Linked DNA regions of Arabidopsis thaliana. Each later gene encodes a partner of the first gene's protein in a complex. Each region holds a gene or a part of one and is shown in the gene's direction. Other genes may lie near its edges.

The links.
Region 2: the proteins of PAD4 (region 1) and ADR1 are in contact, whole or in part, in a cryo-EM structure (PDB 8ZW9), measured with the Arabidopsis thaliana proteins. Residues at the interface, in NP_190811.1 of Arabidopsis thaliana: Glu316, Trp319, Tyr320, Arg323, Arg339, Tyr340, Ser341, Leu342, Lys343, Arg344, Phe346, Lys347, Val348, Met350, Ile353, Arg354, Lys357, Asn403; in NP_174620.2 of Arabidopsis thaliana: Met562, Arg586, Phe609, His637, Asp639, Asn660, Pro662, Arg663, Ala684, Pro686, Glu687, Gln708, Val710, Val782, Trp784, Leu785, Asp786, Asp787.
Region 3: the proteins of PAD4 (region 1) and EDS1 are in contact, whole or in part, in a cryo-EM structure (PDB 8ZWA), measured with the Arabidopsis thaliana proteins. Residues at the interface, in NP_190811.1 of Arabidopsis thaliana: Arg5 (codon at 2,525), Phe6 (codon at 2,528), Thr8 (codon at 2,534), Glu10 (codon at 2,540), Leu11 (codon at 2,543), Gln12 (codon at 2,546), Ser14 (codon at 2,552), Val15 (codon at 2,555), Met16 (codon at 2,558), Ser18 (codon at 2,564), Thr19 (codon at 2,567), Pro20 (codon at 2,570), Leu21 (codon at 2,573), Leu111, Val112, Arg141, Val142, Phe143, His168, Asn169, Thr193, Ser240, His241, Phe243, Leu244, Lys245, Ser246, Arg247, Ser248, Phe249; in NP_190392.1 of Arabidopsis thaliana: Arg196 (codon at 3,171), Met233 (codon at 3,282), Arg234 (codon at 3,285), Ser237 (codon at 3,294), Thr238 (codon at 3,297), Asn241 (codon at 3,306), Gln242 (codon at 3,309), Val244 (codon at 3,315), Cys245 (codon at 3,318), Gly249 (codon at 3,330), Ser250 (codon at 3,333), Ala251 (codon at 3,336), Glu252 (codon at 3,339), Ala253 (codon at 3,342), Phe254 (codon at 3,345), Leu255 (codon at 3,348), Glu256 (codon at 3,351), Thr257 (codon at 3,354), Leu258 (codon at 3,357), Ser260 (codon at 3,363), Phe261 (codon at 3,366), Leu262 (codon at 3,369), Phe295 (codon at 3,468), Gln299 (codon at 3,480), Ala300 (codon at 3,483), Ser301 (codon at 3,486), Ser351, Thr352, Arg353, Arg355.

Annotation. Positions count from the first base shown.
Region 1 is NC_003074.8:19,429,054-19,432,807, forward strand, and holds the start of PAD4 (alpha/beta-Hydrolases superfamily protein), read left to right. Parts: upstream 1-2,041; 5' UTR 2,042-2,512; coding exon 2,513-2,803; intron 2,804-3,754. Other genes in the region: OEP7 (outer envelope membrane protein 7), read left to right, coding at 722-916.
Region 2 is NC_003070.9:12,166,905-12,170,658, forward strand, and holds the start of ADR1 (Disease resistance protein (CC-NBS-LRR class) family), read left to right. Parts: upstream 1-1,863; 5' UTR 1,864-2,187; coding exon 2,188-2,827; intron 2,828-2,896; coding exon 2,897-3,231; intron 3,232-3,318; coding exon 3,319-3,674; intron 3,675-3,746; coding exon 3,747-3,754.
Region 3 is NC_003074.8:17,756,448-17,760,201, reverse strand, and holds the start of EDS1 (alpha/beta-Hydrolases superfamily protein), read left to right. Parts: upstream 1-2,054; 5' UTR 2,055-2,509; coding exon 2,510-2,827; intron 2,828-2,903; coding exon 2,904-3,635; intron 3,636-3,731; coding exon 3,732-3,754. Other genes in the region: RR5 (response regulator 5), read left to right, coding at 95-165, 916-1,090. UniProt on the Arabidopsis thaliana protein: Positive regulator of basal resistance and of effector-triggered immunity specifically mediated by TIR-NB-LRR (TNL) resistance proteins.

The DNA of each region.
Region 1 (3,754 bases):
ACCCAACTCATTTTACTCATCAAACCAATTGACTCATCAACTCATTTGACCCATCAACTCATTTGAGTCAAAATTTTCAACTCATTAGGGTTTATGGGTTGAGTTGAGTTGACCAATAAATTTTGACCCATTGACACCCCTACACATATCAAATAATTTTAACCTATCTAAATTTTTTTTATAAAAATTACTAACTAACATGTCACGAGTTCACGACACATATCAATAAAAATATTAGATGTCTTCATGTATTAAGTCTAAATTTGTTAATACATTTACTGAGAAAATGAAAAAGTTAATAACTCTATATGAAAAAGGAGGTTATATATAAGTAAAAAAGAAATTTGATAATAAATTAAGAAAAAAAAAAACACAATTTGTAACTATATTAGAAAAAAGGTAAAAGTTCCTTATCCTAACAAAAAAGAAATTGTTGATATATTGAACTATTTATCTAATTCTATTGATTGTTTTTTTCCATATATATATTCCCAAGAAAATAAAATAGGGATCCTTTCAATTATATTTACAATTATATAAAAAGTTTGTATTAATTAACCAATAGACGGATAAAAAGTTGGGCCATAGTTTAACAAACAAACTATCTTTATCCAATGAGAAGCCCAAACCGGCCCATTTTAAACATCCTAGTAAAACCCATCTCCCGATCTTAAACCATCGGTTGATACCACCGACACGCGAACAAGACGACGACGCAGCGATGGGAAAAACTTCGGGAGCGAAACAGGCGACTGTGGTGGTCGCAGCGATGGCGTTAGGATGGTTAGCCATAGAGATCGCTTTCAAGCCTTTCCTCGATAAATTCCGCTCCTCAATCGACAAATCTGACCCAACCAAAGACCCCGATGACTTCGACACCGCCGCTACTGCAACCACATCCAAAGAGGGTTTGTAAAATTAGGGTTTTATCAGATTAAAGAGATTTACTGATTTCAATCCATTTCATGTAACTGATGAATCCATGTGTTCTTAATCATAACAGTTTGAGCAATTTCTTTTGAGTCATGATCGTTTATTTGTCATCAATTTTTGGAAAAGTCTGCTATATTGAATCTGTTATTGTAGTTCAATCGCATAACAGAATCATTAATCTAATCAATATTCATACATGATTTGTTACACCGTTTTTCGTATTTTGTATAAAGTTTCGAGCTGTATTATTAAGGTGGAAGAAGAGATTAGGAATCCGATAAGTACTTAAATTGTTTTAAGTTATGATTCGATTATACGTATCTCTTGAAAAGAAGCATGTTAGAGCAAAATATCAAACTTGACAATTACAAGATTGCTTTATAGATAAAGCAGATTAGCTAAATAAGTATAGGGAGACGATAACATGTGGTGATACAAAGATGTGTCAGATTGATTGTTTAACATCATTTAGTTGAGAAAACTTTGGACGACGACTGACTTCATCATATGAGAAAACACCAAGAAAATGTACTACTAGTCTCTAATGGAGAGACTTGGTTATAGAAGTTCATTGTTTAATTTGAATATTTACTCCAATTCAGGAAAATATCAAAACCAGAAAATTACATGAAAATTACTATAGATGGTAGCTTTGCAATGATTATTGTCCGGTTGGATAGTTTCATTGACATTTAGGATTCAGATTATCTCTTTTATCATTATCAGTTTGTTAAGGCAAGAGTTTTCTAATACATGCTTAAGTCCTAATCATCAGATATTTCTTCTTCAAACCTTTTTTGTTTTGTTTTGATAATTTGCCCCATTTTGTACTCTAGGTTTTTCCACAAAGATCCCAAACAGAGATTAAAAGATGACAATGGCATGGACCTTTCAATGCTTTGTTTTTTTGTTAAATTAGATATAAACCTTTCCAAACAGTAAATTATCAAATTCATTAACAAGTATCTATATCTCTCTAGTAGAGGTAGACCACAACTTAAAAATCTCCTCAAGTCATGGTGGGTCTAACTTGTAGGACTTATATGGGCCAAATTGTATAACTATATCATGTTAAGCTGAAACTGAAAGTAATTGGTTCCTTTTAAAAGCTTAGCCAAAAAAACTTCAAAATGTCTGAGTCAAATGTAGGTTGATTTCTCTGCAATTTCCATGAAAGATAGATAGATAAACTCTTACCAAAGTTTCTGCATATCAAAAGTTGTCAATTTATGCTCAAGTCTAAACCATTCCGATTACATAGGATCACATGCTTTGATTCGCATTTTCTTCTACTATATATTTACATATTTTTTTGTCCTCTACACACAATGATTAAAAAATGAGAATGGACCTACCTTTCACAGCATTTCTTTATTATTATTTTATAAAACCAGTACAATTTTACTAAATTATGATGTTAAAGTAAGAGACTTTGAAGAAGACGACTTAGCAAAGACCAAAACCAAGAAATTACATAGGAACAAGCCAAGAAGATACATAGATAATTTCTTTTTGCTTGTAATATATTTACAACTTCATAAACATCATCGTTCTGCAACTCTCTACTCGATATCCAATCATGGACGATTGTCGATTCGAGACGAGTGAGTTGCAAGCTTCGGTAATGATATCGACTCCTTTATTTACCGATTCTTGGAGTTCATGCAACACCGCAAATTGCAACGGGAGTATAAAGATCCATGACATCGCCGGGATTACATACGTTGCTATACCGGCGGTATCGATGATTCAGTTGGGGAATCTTGTGGGCTTGCCAGTCACCGGAGATGTTCTTTTCCCCGGCTTATCCTCCGATGAACCTCTACCTATGGTCGACGCTGCCATACTCAAACTCTTTCTTCAGTTAAAGGTTTGTTTTCTCTTCCTCTGTTTTTTTTTCTTTCTATTGGATGCAATTTAACCTATTTATTATCTTCAAGGCATGTGGATATTTGAATTTCAATTAATAATACCTCGAGAGAAAAATACAAAAATCATTAAATGCTAATATGGGAAATTATTTCACAAAGGATTTTAAAAAAAAACAAAATTCTATCATAAGTTTTATTCGTTTGGATTTGCGAAAACGAATTTTACCTATTAAAGTTACTATTTTTTTTACGTATTTTAGTACTTTTTAGTAGAACTGATGATCATTACTATTTTTTATTTAAATATCTCTGTCCTCTGAATTTTGATGAATTATAATCCAAATGGAGGTTTTTTTTGTCCTTTTAAAAGATTATTATAAACTATCACCACCACCTACCCCAATAGGCAATAGACAATAGATAATAAATAAAAATTATTTTCTTGTAAGAAATTCTAAAAAGATTCGTGGACACAATTATTCCAAATCCACCATTTGGAATATGTCATTGTCGCGACCTTTGGATATCATAAGCAAGTCAATTGAAAGTTTGGTTTGTATGCCATCACGTCCGTCCGCCCAAGTGATTTAAAAAATTTACTAATTAGTGAGTGAAACGTCATTGGTATTTTTGACACCAAAAAAAACAAAAAATGTTAATGGAATTGGTAGCTTTACGCTTTATGCTTTAACACACCTCGGCGAAGTTTATAAATGTGCGCTCAAAAAGTTTTTAACCCATGATTATTGTGTCACCATCATGTATTTTATTCCCTTTTTCGTCGAATACTTTTAGTTTTTGTTTTGTCTCTAAGGATATGAAAATCTTGAACAAAAACAAGTTCCTATTGGTTTTGATGAGTAGAAAAAACAAGAAGTGACCATTAATGTAGATATAAGTTGTAAAAATGGTAAGTCTAGAGAGGTGTCTTAACTGATTTTTATTCAAAT
Region 2 (3,754 bases), on another chromosome or scaffold:
ATGATGGTTGTATACCTTTAGAAAATGTTCTATGTTTCAGTGGGCAGAGCGTATTCCTCTCACCGAGTATTCTTTACTCACCCCCTTATTCATTTTTTCTTCAGATTAGTAAGAGTGAGGAAGTTATGTGTAATATTTTGTTCGTGTTTGACGTTTAAAGAAAACGTTTTGGTAAAATCAAATGAAAAACATGTCATCTTAATCTATATGACAGGTCGGGTGTTACAAATTAGGTTAACCATTTAAGGTTAGACCAAATTAAAACTAAGCATTTAATGCGTCAACCTTCAAATTTCGTTGAATACAAACCTCAACTTTCTTCGATGAAATATATACCCAACTTTTATTGACTTATCAATTTAATCGCTAACTTATGTTGACTTCACGAAATCGTTAAGTCGCGTACTACAAGAAAAAATAGACATTTTAACTCAAGATAAACGCTATTGTATGTGTTTAATAGCGTTTTCATAAACTTTGATGGATTAACGAGTTACTAGAATAATCTGAATATAAGAACCGAGTGCTTTTGGTTTTTTTTTTATTAGTTAGTTTTTTTTATGGTTTTTAATTGGTTTAGTCTATCCGAGTGGAATTGTTTTCTTTTTAATTAGGTTTTTGGTATGTCTTTATAAACACTATTTATGCAAACACTGGGAAAGTGTGCTTATTTCTAACCAACTCAGTTAAATGCGGAACTTGGAGGAAAAAATCCGAATTAGAACCAATCTGGCTGACATCATATCCATTGATGAGGTAAAGACAAGAAATAAAATTGATAAGACAAATTTGGGAACAATTAAGGGGAAGATGGATATCAATTTGAATCCTAATGACAAAGACATGATAGCTTTTACATGGACCCATGTTTCTGGATTGAGACATATTAATTTGGCAACAAATAATAAGGACAAAGACTTGAGATGATCAAAATGATAATGACAATATAATGATTGTCGCTAAGTAAAATTTAATTAAAAGGCTGTGACTGGTTAAACATATAGAATAAATGGAAAAATAGAATAATCACATCAGGAAGAAAAATAATTTTTATTTGCTTTGAAGATGGAAGAATTCATGTGATTTAGTTACTTTTTGATATTTTTCGAAGAAACAATTTTCTTCCAATTTCTTTTGTTGGACTAATACATGTAATTTTTTCCCTTTCTTTTTGTTTTCTTCTATTAAAGTCAACTAGTCACACGACTCACACCCTCAATGATATGACAAGTATGTGTCATGTGGATTAGTTAGTGTGGAAGCAAGTCTTTTAACATCCAATGTTTTCTCAATTCTTACCTAACACGGTAACACCTTTTTTTTTCCACAACACATGGTACTAACCGGTTGACTATTCCCTGGTACTGCGGTTGAGGCTGAGGCAATGGCTGTTGAACCATCATGCCTTCTCCAGCCACCGTATAGTACACATGCGGCTTCCCATCTGCGAATACGGTTCTTGTAACCCCATTGGAGCTGGACCAACACTAGTGTATATATACCATTAAGTAATTTGAAGAAATATATAAAATATTAATCAAAACGCGTAAAAAGAGTAAAGTGATCTTTGATGATTAGATCTACAAATCGACGTCAAAAGGAAAAAAAAAAAAAAAGCTACAAAATAAACATTGAAAAAGTTCGAGTCCCTAATCCCTATATAGTTTATACACATATCAACACCAAATAATCACAAGAAAAAAAAATTATAAACAAGGTTGCATATGGGATCGTTTTTCTTTCCCAATTAGTTAAATTAGATAGAGATAGCGACCAAAAAAAACAAGATTAGAGGTATTAATCCAAATAGGATTTAGCTAACTTTAAACAATTACACTCCCAAAGTGATTGAACCCGTATGGCCGTATTAGGGAATATCGTAATTTAGAGTTTGTCTAGATAATCGAATTCGAAAAAAAACTACTAAATCGATCTGTTTGATAATAAGTGAAAAACTGATACGTAACCATAAGATCCATACATTCTCTGAAATCTATTACAAAGCTATTACATGTGTTACCGCAGAAACAAAACTTTAAAACACTAAACGACAAAACGTATGTTATTGGAAGTTGCTAAGAAACTTCGTCTTCTTCGCTATTTTCTAATCTAAAAACGTATCAACCCTTATTACCACTCAACCATCTCACTTTCTTTTTTCTGTCTTACACTCCAAGATCGGTCTCGATGGCTTCGTTCATAGATCTTTTCGCCGGCGACATCACGACGCAACTCTTAAAGCTGCTCGCTCTAGTAGCTAACACAGTCTACAGTTGCAAAGGAATCGCCGAACGACTGATCACGATGATCAGAGACGTTCAACCAACGATCAGGGAGATCCAATACAGTGGCGCGGAGCTGAGTAACCATCACCAAACTCAACTGGGAGTATTCTATGAGATCTTGGAGAAAGCAAGAAAGCTATGTGAAAAGGTTTTAAGATGCAATAGGTGGAACCTTAAACATGTGTACCACGCGAATAAGATGAAGGATCTCGAGAAACAAATATCTCGTTTCCTCAACAGCCAGATTTTGCTCTTTGTTCTTGCTGAGGTATGTCATCTACGGGTCAATGGTGACAGGATTGAGAGGAATATGGATAGACTGTTGACTGAGCGGAATGATTCTTTGTCGTTTCCGGAGACTATGATGGAGATTGAGACGGTAAGCGATCCGGAGATTCAGACGGTATTGGAATTGGGGAAGAAAAAGGTGAAGGAGATGATGTTTAAGTTTACGGATACACATTTGTTTGGGATCTCTGGAATGAGCGGTTCAGGGAAAACCACTCTTGCAATAGAGCTTTCAAAGGACGATGATGTTCGAGGTTTGTGAAGTTTTATTGAATTTTGTTTTGTGTTGATGGTCATGAGTTCTAATCAAGATTTTTGTGCAGGACTCTTTAAGAATAAGGTTTTGTTTTTGACTGTGTCACGGTCTCCGAATTTTGAGAATTTGGAGTCTTGTATACGAGAATTTCTTTATGATGGAGTTCATCAACGGAAGCTAGTGATTCTTGATGATGTTTGGACAAGGGAGTCCTTGGACAGGCTGATGTCTAAAATTCGTGGAAGCACTACTTTAGTAGTGTCACGGTCCAAGCTTGCAGATCCTAGAACCACCTACAATGTGGAATTATTAAAGAAAGATGAAGCAATGTCTCTTTTGTGTCTCTGTGCTTTCGAACAAAAGTCCCCGCCTTCTCCATTCAACAAATATTTGGTGAAGCAGGTACTAATGCCTTTTTATAAATATTTGAATCTGTAACTAAAAACACACTTTGCTTCCAAATACTAAAATTGTTACTCTGTTTGGTAGGTTGTTGATGAGTGTAAAGGTTTACCTTTATCTTTGAAAGTTCTTGGTGCTTCGTTAAAAAACAAACCTGAAAGATATTGGGAAGGCGTAGTGAAGAGGTTATTAAGAGGAGAAGCTGCTGATGAAACTCATGAGAGCAGAGTGTTTGCTCATATGGAAGAAAGTCTAGAAAACCTCGACCCGAAAATCCGAGACTGTTTCTTGGATATGGGTGCTTTCCCTGAAGACAAGAAGATCCCTCTTGATCTTCTCACGAGCGTGTGGGTTGAGAGGCATGATATTGACGAGGAAACTGCGTTTTCCTTTGTTCTTCGTTTAGCTGACAAGAATCTCCTTACTATAGTGAACAATCCGAGGTATTCGCTCTTTTATGACTTTGTCTCTTGTACCAACACTTCAGTGGGATTAATCATATCATAAATTTGCAGGTTTGGCG
Region 3 (3,754 bases), 1.7 Mb from region 1:
AAATTAAAATGAAGTTCTGATTTGACGAAAAAAAATTTAAAAAAAAATGAAGTTTTGATCTAATCTTGTTTATGGATTTTGAACTTTTTAACAGGAATCATCAGCTTTCAGAGAAATACCAGTTGTGATTATGTCTTCAGAGAACATCTTGCCTCGTATCGATAGGTATATTCTACTATAATAATCTTAACTATGATCCTTAATTCTTGTTTAGGTCAAGATTATGTAGGACCAAAATTTACCAAATATAGTAGATTTTGTGCATTTATTACTTCAGGAGATGGGGATGATTAGATTTAGAGGGTATTGTTTGTTTAGGAAACTTTTTAAAGTAATCACACTAATTTAGGATTTGTGATAAAGTTACCGTTAAAGGATATGTATTGACTAAATTAAATTGTTGTATAATCACAAGATTTTGTTATGATAGAAAAGGTTATTATATGATTACTTTTTAACTATCATGGGGTTAACTTTGGTGGTGGTTGTATATTTGATCAAGCTGAGATTTGGTGTTTATTTTAGTGGGTCCTAAAATGATTTTTAAAATGGATCTTAGGAATAATAAAATTTATCTTGTGGCCATAAATTTAGAAAAGAATAATCCATCATAAGTTAAGCAAGATCTTCTCTTGAGATTTGATTCTATATAAGCCGGTGACATGTTAGGCCCTCCAAAACTTTATAATATATGTTTTAATTGTTTGGGTTGCATAATCTTAGGTAGGGTCATTTATAAAATCCCAATCCTCGTGATAGACACCTCACATGCCTTTGCTTATTACTAAGGAACCAAACCCTCTTTACCAGATTAAGTTTAATGATTATCATATATGAGCTGGCCATTTTCTGTATCCAAAGTTATAAACTTTATGGAATTAGATCACTAACATTTGGTTCCTTATATTTATTCAGATGTCTTGAAGAAGGAGCTGAAGATTTCTTATTGAAGCCTGTGAAATTAGCTGATGTGAAGAGATTAAGAGATTCTTTAATGAAAGCTGAGGAAAGAGCTTTTAAGAATATTATGCACAAGAGAGAGCTTGAAGCTAATGATATCTACTCGCAGCTAAAACGCGCAAAGATCTGAGTTTATCAGATTCCACGTACGATATGTTCTTTAAAAGCTCAAAGATTCACACACATGCATGTCCTGATTCTTTCGGCTTACAATTTTTGAGACATTACGGCTTCTTTTGCTGATAGAACCAAGACTGATCAAGAGTGACAAAGATGGGTTTTTATAAGATAGAAATGTAAATTGTAGACTTGGATTCATTAGAGAGGAGAAGAGATACATTTTTTTTTTCTTTACATGAGAGATATGTAAAATGGTGGTGTGTTATTTTGGAAGTTAACATATGAATTTCTTTTGTTAAGATTACTTAAATAATGATTTAGGAATGGATTAGTAGTTTAGTACCGTTCATTACACGAAGACAAGCTAATCTTTTGTCTAATTAAAATAAAGCTGTCTACATGAATCGAATCCAGCGAGATAAGTTAGTTATTTTAAGCGTTGGTTGGAACACTTTACATGGCTTTTCGTAGAAATTTCCCCAAGTTGGGTTTTATTAAGACCAAGAAAATTCTAGTCTCCTAGACTTTTTTTTGTTTCTTTTGTTAATTTAGTCTCCTAGGCTTTTTCATTCTATCTGAAAGCAAAATATGGTTATGCAATTTGGTTTAGCCAAAAAAACAAACTAAATTTTTCTAGTCCGGTTCATGTAACTTCATAATCAAACAAGTAAAAGTCGAATGTGACGCGTCTTGCCGAACGCAAAAACGGACCAGGCAAGAAGGTGTAGTTAGTTAATTCGGTTAATATTCAGCTGAGAGAAATCGAACCGGTTCCATATCTTGTAGATTATCCGGTTTACTTTCCGGATAAGATTTATAAGCAAAACAGAGTTAAAGTAGTAGATTTCTTCTATACGAGACCAAATCTGAAAACCCAAGTCAAGCTACAAAAACTTAACTCCAAGCGAACAAATCTCCTCATTCATTAAACAACAAAATTGTTTTCCGACAAAAAAGTGAATATCATTGAGTTACTGCGAAATCCCAACCGAGAGTGACATCTCAAACCAAAAGATGGAGTCTATATTAAAGAGACGAAGACTCCAAAGTCAAGCTACAAAATTTCCAAGCAAAGATTACACAGAGAAAACTTTCCGACCAAATGTGAATGTTTATGAAAGTTTCTGCGAAACTCCAGTCATGTCGGATGTACAAAGCCATACACCAATGTAAAACCGACACGTGGAAAGCTAAGATTCCTAGCTTTTCTTTCTTCATGAGTCTCCAATAGCCAAAGAGTCAACTCCAAAAAAAAAAACCCATTTTTGCATTGAAATGGTCTCATGATGGGGTATTTTGGGTAACTAATTAGTCCTGTCTACATCTTCCCATAAATTAACAGAGTAGGAGCGGATTAAAGAAGCAAGACGATTCAAAAGAAAAAAGAGAGAAGAAAGTCCACTAAAGAAAAGAGAATAGATATAGATCAATGGCGTTTGAAGCTCTTACCGGAATCAATGGTGATCTAATCACCAGATCATGGTCAGCCTCGAAGCAAGCTTACCTAACCGAGCGCTATCACAAGGAAGAAGCAGGAGCAGTCGTAATCTTCGCTTTCCAACCATCTTTCTCAGAGAAAGATTTCTTCGATCCGGACAATAAATCTTCCTTTGGAGAAATCAAGTTGAACCGTGTTCAGTTTCCTTGTATGAGGAAAATCGGTAAAGGTGATGTAGCTACTGTTAACGAAGCTTTCCTCAAGAATCTTGAAGCTATCATTGATCCAAGAACCTCATTTCAAGCTTCTGTAAGAAGATTGAAAACATCCGAATATATTTTTCTTTTTTTTTCTTTTTTGGTCTCTTATGCTTTTACTTCTTCAGGTGGAAATGGCTGTGAGGAGTAGAAAACAGATAGTGTTCACAGGACATTCCTCAGGAGGTGCAACTGCAATCTTAGCAACAGTTTGGTATTTGGAGAAATACTTCATACGCAATCCAAATGTTTACCTTGAGCCTCGTTGTGTGACATTTGGAGCTCCTTTGGTTGGTGACTCTATCTTCAGTCACGCACTTGGGAGAGAAAAATGGAGCCGGTTCTTTGTGAACTTTGTCTCAAGATTCGATATTGTCCCTCGGATTATGCTTGCTCGAAAGGCGTCTGTAGAGGAAACTTTGCCTCATGTTCTTGCCCAATTGGATCCCAGAAAGTCTTCCGTCCAAGAGAGTGAACAGAGAATAACAGAGTTTTACACAAGGGTGATGCGAGACACATCAACTGTTGCAAACCAAGCTGTTTGTGAATTGACTGGAAGCGCAGAGGCGTTTTTAGAGACCCTTTCTAGTTTCCTTGAGCTAAGTCCTTATAGACCCGCCGGTACTTTTGTTTTCTCTACAGAGAAGAGATTGGTTGCAGTGAACAACTCGGACGCCATTCTTCAAATGCTGTTTTACACTTCTCAAGCCAGCGATGAACAAGAATGGTCTCTAATTCCATTTCGAAGTATCAGAGATCATCATAGCTATGAGGAACTGGTACAGTCGATGGGAAAGAAGTTGTTTAATCATTTGGATGGAGAAAACTCAATAGAGTCTACGCTCAATGACCTTGGAGTGGTAAGTCTCTCTCTCTCTCTCTTTTCATACTGTGCAGCTCCATAGCTCCATTCTTGCAATCATTTAAACCCTTCAGAGTGTTTCCTTTTTCTGCAGAGCACAAGAGGCAGACAGTACGT